2 linked regions of the Canis lupus familiaris genome follow. The protein of the gene in region 2 interacts with the protein of the main gene of each other region in a biochemical or structural test. Links are inferred from orthologs where the notes say so. Each region holds a gene or a part of one and is shown on either strand. Other genes may lie near its edges.

The links.
Region 1: the proteins of FBXW7 (region 2) and KLF5 form a complex in vitro, tested with the Homo sapiens proteins (2 studies listed by BioGRID, with this or other methods). The link is inferred for Canis lupus familiaris from reciprocal best matches to the Homo sapiens genes FBXW7 and KLF5.

The regions. Positions count from the first base shown.
Region 1 is NC_049243.1:27,271,277-27,275,403, reverse strand, and holds the start of KLF5 (Krueppel-like factor 5), read right to left. Parts: upstream 2,801-4,127; coding exon 2,540-2,800; intron 955-2,539; exon of another isoform or gene 816-954; intron 8-815; coding exon 1-7. UniProt on the Homo sapiens protein: Transcription factor that binds to GC box promoter elements. Activates the transcription of these genes.
Region 2 is NC_049236.1:50,546,700-50,550,199, reverse strand, and holds part of FBXW7 (F-box/WD repeat-containing protein 7), read left to right. Parts: intron 1-161; coding exon 162-343; intron 344-2,312; coding exon 2,313-2,538; intron 2,539-3,500. UniProt on the Homo sapiens protein: Substrate recognition component of a SCF (SKP1-CUL1-F-box protein) E3 ubiquitin-protein ligase complex which mediates the ubiquitination and subsequent proteasomal degradation of target proteins.

The sequences.
Region 1 (4,127 bases), on a different chromosome or scaffold from region 2:
ATCTTGTCTAAAAAAGAAGAGATACAAACATGCATAATCCACCCAATTCATCAGCTGAGTAAAGACAAACTTACTAAAAATTCCCCCAGCGATACCTGTGAGAAGTACTAGGGCAAGCTCCTTTCAAGCGTCGCTTATAAACGTATCAGGTTTATTTGTCCATTGTGTAATAACTGGTTTACCAAAACCCTTATGAAACTCTCTATAACGTGTATTTGGTAAAATCGCTCCCACAATCAGCCCCGGACAAAAAGTTTAACAGGCAAATCAAGAAAAAAAAAAAAAAAAAAGCAGCAGCAGCAGAAAGAAAGGATTAGAATTCCTTTCTAATCGATAACAAAGTGTATTTTTATAACTCACATACAAAAGCAGGATTCCCTACCCCATTACAGTTGAGTTTTCAACTTAAATACAGTATCGTACTACTACTGCCGAACCTCCTCAATTCTGCTCGTGCCATATTTATGTTAATACAGGTATGTTTAAACAAACAAAACCTAAGCAAAACAACCTTAAAAATAATATTGCGAAGTTCTGTTTTAGGGTTTCTTTCTGTTTGTTTGCCCAGGTAGATATTGTTGAAGTATCTAATATAACATATTCCTTGGCTATTTCAGTGCCTTTTCTCATGTACAGGTCACTGGAAACTTAAAATACAACCTCTTGAGCAGAACAGTATCCACTCAAAGAACAGAACAACTTCACTTTCAACATTTGATCTAAATGTTGATTTTAATCAGCAGATTCTGTAATTGGTTAATATGATAATGAAATGTTCCTATTCATATCCCTATCTAAAACAGATCTTTAATTACCTAGGGGAAAATCACTCCCTTGGTAGAGTGGTGCTAAGGAGTCCGTGGGTGGGGAGAGGCTGCTGTATCCCTAGCACAGTCATCAGCAAAACATTTACCATGTCCTTCTCAGTGGCCCAATGCTACATTCCCCCTTACTCTGTAAAAAAAAAAAAAAAAAAAAAAGCTCAATCATCCCTTAGCCTCTTGGTGTCTCTTAACCAGAAGTGACCAACCTGAAATAACCAAATCGTTCTCAAGTGGGGATTTTTTTTTTTTTTAACACAACGATCCAGAGCTTGTAACTAGTCACCCTCCGTCTTTTTTTTTTTCTTTTTACAAACTCTTCTATGCCAGTACATAAACTAGCACATAAACATAAACTTAATATTTATTTTTTTAACGTCGAAAAGTAAATTTTCAGAGCAAAGCAGAGCCCACCCCACCCCCATGAAATGGCTCATGCACCTATTAATCGTGGTGGCATCCTAACTGGTGAATAATACACTTTTTTTTTTTTTTTTGCTATCACTTCATTTCAAAAGCGTTTCGTATCAGACCTCGTACCATTCGCTGTGGATGTTAAGACAGGGCTTCCCAGATAGACACGATTTAAAAATAAAAACTAACGCTCGGGCCCTGTGAGTCACACCTCTGACAAATGCCCCTGCCCTCTCCGGGCACCACGAGGCCCGCAGACCCCGCGGCGGCGCAGGGGCCGCACCAAGGGGCCGTGAAACGAAGCGTCTCGAAATAAACCCAACTAAAACCCTTCCGTGCGCTTCGCTCCCGTGGTGGTTAGTGGTTTCTGCTTTTAGCTCTTCCAGCTGTTTGCATGTGGGTATGTTTCCAATTTTTTTTTTTCCTTGGGACAGGCTAAAAGTCCCGGGAAGTTTTTTTTTTTTTTTTTTTTTTTTTTTTTTCCAGGGCTATATGACTCCCTGCGTGGGCGAAAGAAACAGGCGGCTGCTCTAATTCGGCTGCCGGGCAAGTGTAAAGAGCCAACTGCCAGCTTTCAACGCGGCTCCGGGAGGAAATTTACGCGCACATGAAGAAAACAACACCCCCGGTCCTTTTTCTGGGTCTTGGCTTTTTAAGGAAAAACACACACACACACACAGACACGCCGCTCCGGTACCACCGCAGCTCCCCCAGCTCTCGGTTCCCCAAGGCAGCCCCGAGATCGCGTCTAGAGCAGCCTGAGCCCCGAGATACGAAAGTAGCACCCGAGGCGCCTCCCGCCGGCACCCGGGCTGCGATTCCACCTGACCCGAGCCTACGAGGGGGATCCTCCGTGGGGTGGGGGTGGGGGTGGGGGTGGGGGTGGGGGTCGGGGTGCATCAGGGGAGAGCCGGGATTTAGACGGACGCTGGACGTGAGGCACGAGGGGCAACGCCAAGGTGCGTGTGAGCCCCCGCTCCGCTCGAACCTCTCCCCGGACGGGCCCATCGGGGCGGCTCCGGCCGGGACGCCCCCCCCCTTCCGGTCCCCCGACTTTCTCGCTGCTGCCTGCGAGCGCCCAGGCCGGCAGGGCCGGGAGGGGAGGGGAGGGGAGGGGAGGGGAGGGGAGGGGAGGGGAGGGGCCGCCCCCCGCCCCCCAGCGCCCCGACGCACGCCCCAGCTTGGAGCGGCCCCTGTCGCCCGCGCGTCGCAGCGGCGGGACACGCCCGAGCTCCGGGAGGGGGGCGGAGGGACGGACCGACGGAGGGAGGGAGGGAGGGAGGGAGGGGAGCGCCTCTTCCTACCTGGACCAGCTCCTCCGGGGGCAGCCGCGGGCCCGCGGCGGGCGGCGGCGCCGGCTGCGGCGGCTGCGGGGGCGCGGGCTGCGCCTGCGGGTGGTGGTGCGGGTGCTTCAGCTCCTCGCCCGGGAAGAGCGCCGCGTCGCGGGCCGGGTTCGCGGCGCCCAGCACGGGCTTGAGCTGCGCGAACACGGGCTCGTCCTGCGGGGCCGGCGGCTGGGGCACGGGTCCCAGGCGGGCGCTCATCGTCAGCACCCGCGTGGCCATTGGCACTCGCGGGGGGCGGGGGGCGGGGGCCGGCGGCTCCGGGCGCGGGTCGGGCGCGCTTCCCACCTCGCCCACGCCGACGCGGGCCGGCGAGCTCGGCGCGGGGCCGCGGGCGGAGAAGGGGACGCTCCGGGCGGGCGGACCCCCTCAGCCAACAGCCGGCGCGGTCTTCGAAGGCGCGCACGAGAAGCAAAACTCTTCCGCTCCGCCACGCGCAAACGCCAACGTCTCCGCGGCGGCCACTTTCTCCCGCCCCGCCCCGCCCCGCCGCGCCGCGCCGCGCTCTCTCACTCGCCGGAGCCCGCTCCCGCCACCGCCGGTCTCCGCGAGCGAGCTGCGAGCGCGCGTACCTGCCCCGCGACTACTGACACTTGACGCCCGCCTCTATTTTACCCAACTCCGGGTGGGCGGGGCCCGCCGGCCTGACTGGCAGCGCCGCAGCGAATCCCGGTGCCCCGAGGCCGGCCGGGCCGGAGGGCGCAGCCTATGAGGAGGGAGAGGCTCACGCGGGCCCCGCCCCCGCCGCGCTGACCCGCCCCCTCGGGCCACGAGCTTTCGCGCGCAGGGCGGCCGCGCAGTTTGTACACAACTTCTCTGACAGATTGGGCTGCCGGAGCCGGGGGCGGAGGAAAGGAGAGGCGCGGGTGGAATCTAGGAAGAGAGGGAATCGGGGTGGAGACGTGGAGGGAGATCTCTCCAACTGTTCTCCGCCAGGGCTAGGGAGAAAAAACAAGAGGTTTGCACGTCTTAGGTGTTGTGCAAGGGACCTGAGACTCCAAAGCCGAGAAGCCCGGCAGGCAGCGAGGTGGGGGCGCCGAGGGTTCGAGGGGCTTCTCTCAGGAGCGTGTATTTTTAAATATACAAAATGTACTTTTCTTTAGCGGAGAACTAGGGGCGGTGTGATAAGCAAATTTAAAAACAGCTCTTGTGTCTGTGTGTCTTCAGCAGTGAACGTGTCCATCTGGAAGGTCCTGAATAAAAGGTTTAATGGCCAATAGATTTTTTTTTTTTTTTTAAGTCCTGGCATAGGAGCTTGTTTTCCCCTACACTATGTAAATGGCTGGAAAGAAGGTTTCACACCCAATTTCTACCTCGTATCTGTATGGGGAGGAGGAGGATGGGAATATGGGGATATGAATTTTGAAGTTTTTGATATTTACAACTTTTGATTCTAGCCGAAGCCTGGAATCTAATTTAAGCCCTAACGACTAGTTCCAATGTATTTAAATAGAGATTACATCTTTGACTTGTTTTTGCTAGCACTGTATGTTCAAAAAAAAAAAAAAAATGGAGCTCAATATTTACAAAACAGAAACGTGGCACATTT
Region 2 (3,500 bases):
GGTGATGGTATCATGACATATTGGTATAAAAAGTTATTTTCTGATTTGCGAAACAATCCAATTTTATAAATAACTTTACCTCAGATTTTAATAAGCTACTGAAATGTCATGTAAATTGTTTTTCTTTCTACCAAAAGTAATCATCTTAAGTGTTTTTCCAGTGTCTGAGAACATTAGTGGGACACACAGGTGGAGTATGGTCATCACAGATGAGAGACAATATCATCATTAGTGGATCTACAGATCGGACTCTAAAAGTGTGGAATGCAGAGACTGGGGAATGTATACATACCTTATATGGGCATACTTCCACTGTCCGCTGTATGCATCTCCATGAAAAAAGGTAAGGGAAAATCCTGTAATGGTTGGGAATTCTTCCTCTGTTATTTGTGATTTGAGGGCTTTTGTGTAGAGTTCAGTTGTATAATTCTGTTTATTAGAGAGATAGTGGTAATGTGCTCTTAAATTAGGCTTTAATTATTAGACTTCAGATATTTCTATACTAGCAAAGCAGTACTATATTGGCTTAAAATTGGAGGATTGTCTTTAAATTTCCTTCTTCATTTAATGGTTTTGTTGGCTTCCTCCTTGAAATTCTATTCTCTAATCTTGGGTGGCACTTTATTATTCTGCATCTGATGACTCATCATCTTCAAAAAAACCTTTCTCTCTCTCTTGCTTTGCATTTACATCTCTACTAGTGGGACAAATTCAGTTACTTAGGCTTCAAACTTCTGGGCCTTTTTAATTACCCACATGCCCTACCCCCACTCCATCATATCCCCTTCTGTCTAGACAAAAGCTGAGGCCCATGGATTTCTGTTTAGTGTCTCATTACCGGTCCCCTGAACTAGTTACATAGCTTTCACACTTGGTTTTCTCACCTTTTACACAGCTGACAGAGAATCCTTTTCTAATTATGATAGTATCATTGCCCTTTTGAGAGCCTTCTGTTGTCTATCGAATCAAGGAAGAAATGCTCAATCCAGTTTTCAAAATAGTTCCAGCCAAACCAGACTGCTTGCCTTTTTGTCCTCTCGGTGCCTTTGCCGTTGCTTTGATCTCCTCCTACAAAGCCCTCCTGTTAAAGTCCTTTCGATCTTCTATCTGCATGTCTTCACAGTACCCTGGTAAACAGATGTGATTTTGACTTCATTTGTCAAAAAAGGCCTCTCTGGCAGACCTTACCATGAATCCATCCACTCCTTACCGTTAATTCTGTCCACAACATTGTCTTTGTGAAAACCATTACCTTAAGCAGATTTCATGCTCGATTTGTAATATGTGAAGAAAGCTACCTTTTCATTTGTAATTTGAATCTACTTTGAACAGTGTGTGCTATTAAAATTTGGGGTATTGATATTAAGAGACCCTGTATTTCAGTTTTCATTATATTCTGACTTAAATCTCTCAATGCTCTCCTCTACTCTTCCAAATGTGGCAACTGTGGCCTATCTTTATCTCTTAAGAATGACATGAAGATACCTGAATTTTCAGCTCTGCTTCGTAATCCAGAGGTGATTGCAATATTTGTATCACTCTGGTCTTCAGAAGAGCATAGCTTTATTAATGTTGGGCCAGATTTTTAAGGGATTTCTATTGCCTCCCCGGGTGTATCTTCTAAAATCTGTGTATCTTAATACCTCCATAGCCTGTTGACTATAACTATAAACATAAGCAGCCTTTGTTAGAGGATATGCTACAACAGGTTAATTTTACCAGAATTATAATGGTGTAACACACCCATCTCTAACTGTTTAAATTCCAAATTCAGATTTGCTTTGTTGAATAACATTTAACAAATTTTTCCCTAGTCACAAAGAAAATATATGTTCATAATTAAAATTTTGGGAAATGGCAGAAAGAATAAAAAAGAAATATAAAATTTTTCAAAATACTACCACCGGAGTTCTGCCATTAACATTTTATACATGTTGCTCACGTTAGCATTTTATTTCTAAAATCAAGATCTTGTATTTATTGGAGCCGGCGGCAGCTGCTGCTGCTTCTGCTTCAAATACAATACAGCGGTTTTCAAACCGTCCCCCAGAACCCCAGACACTATGCAGCCGCTTATAAATGCGGGACACTAAGCAGGTGGAATTCTGGGCTTCCCAGCTTCCCATCCCAACCAAAGTAGCTTGACTTCTGTATGTTTGTGTATCAAGGTTTTACATAAGATTTCTTTGAAAACAGGTATTCCTGCTTAAGTAAGAAAGGAAAAAGTTCAGTAACCACTGACTTTATATATCATATTTTCTCATGTTATTAAACATTCTAATACTTCTTTTTTTCTGTCTTCCCCACTACAGAGTTGTTAGCGGTTCTCGAGATGCCACTCTTAGGGTTTGGGATATTGAGACAGGCCAGTGTTTACATGTTTTGATGGGTCATGTAGCAGCAGTCCGCTGTGTTCAGTATGATGGCAGGAGGGTTGTTAGTGGAGCATATGATTTTATGGTGAAGGTGTGGGATCCGGAGACCGAGACCTGTCTACACACGTTGCAGGGGCATACTAATAGAGTCTATTCATTACAGGTAAGGGATCCTATCTCTTGTATCCCTTAGACGCTTCACTGATGAATCATGAGATTGTTTTGACTAAAACGATAATCGCTGTCAAATTGCTGATTTAATACAATCCAAAAAAAGACAAATCAGATTATCCTGTTGTTTACATATACTTTAAAATTGGCATGAAGGAAGTGTAAATTTTGAACTTATTTAAATAACTTGTTTCAGCTTTTCTGTGATCTTTTTCCTCTAAAATATAAATATTTGTCTTAGAACCTGAAACTTTGTAGCCCTGCATTTCCCTCTATTAATTAATGGGTAGATAGTCTCAAAGGAAAATAACCTGGATTTTAATAAACTCCTTAGCAGAGGATTAATTTGGCCAAAAGCTGTCCCTTTGCCTTGATAGCTGAAAGTTGATGGACCATGTAATTGCGATCCCATTCCCACTCAAAGTGGAAGTGGAGCCTTTCTGCATCAGGCTCCTCTACCATCAAAGAGCTACTGATTTGTAGTCATAAGGAAGTAAATTTGACTAAACTGATTTTTTTTATTTACATTTGAACATGATATTCTTGAGTGGGTTGTCATATTTGAAATAGCTAAATTAATAGCAAATTTAGAAAATGGGTGTTTCATTTTCTGAAAGATAGCATTTTCAACTTGAAAATTTTTCTATTACTTATATAGTTTATTTGCCAGTTACTGCCCATTACCAATCAGCAGATTAGTATATAGTCCCAGTACTGACAGTTCTCTATTCTTGGAATATTTGTTTCTTAATTCATGGAATACGGCCTATGTCACAAAGTATTGATAGGTAATAAATATACGTGTTAACTTAGAAAAGGTTATACATTTGGAGGAGAGGGAATTTGGCTGAAGTTGTTTTTATATTTTGTGATATGTTCAGAACCTTAATGCATATAATATTCTCATTTAAGTAAACAATTAGATTGAGAAAAGAGGTAGCAATATTATTATAG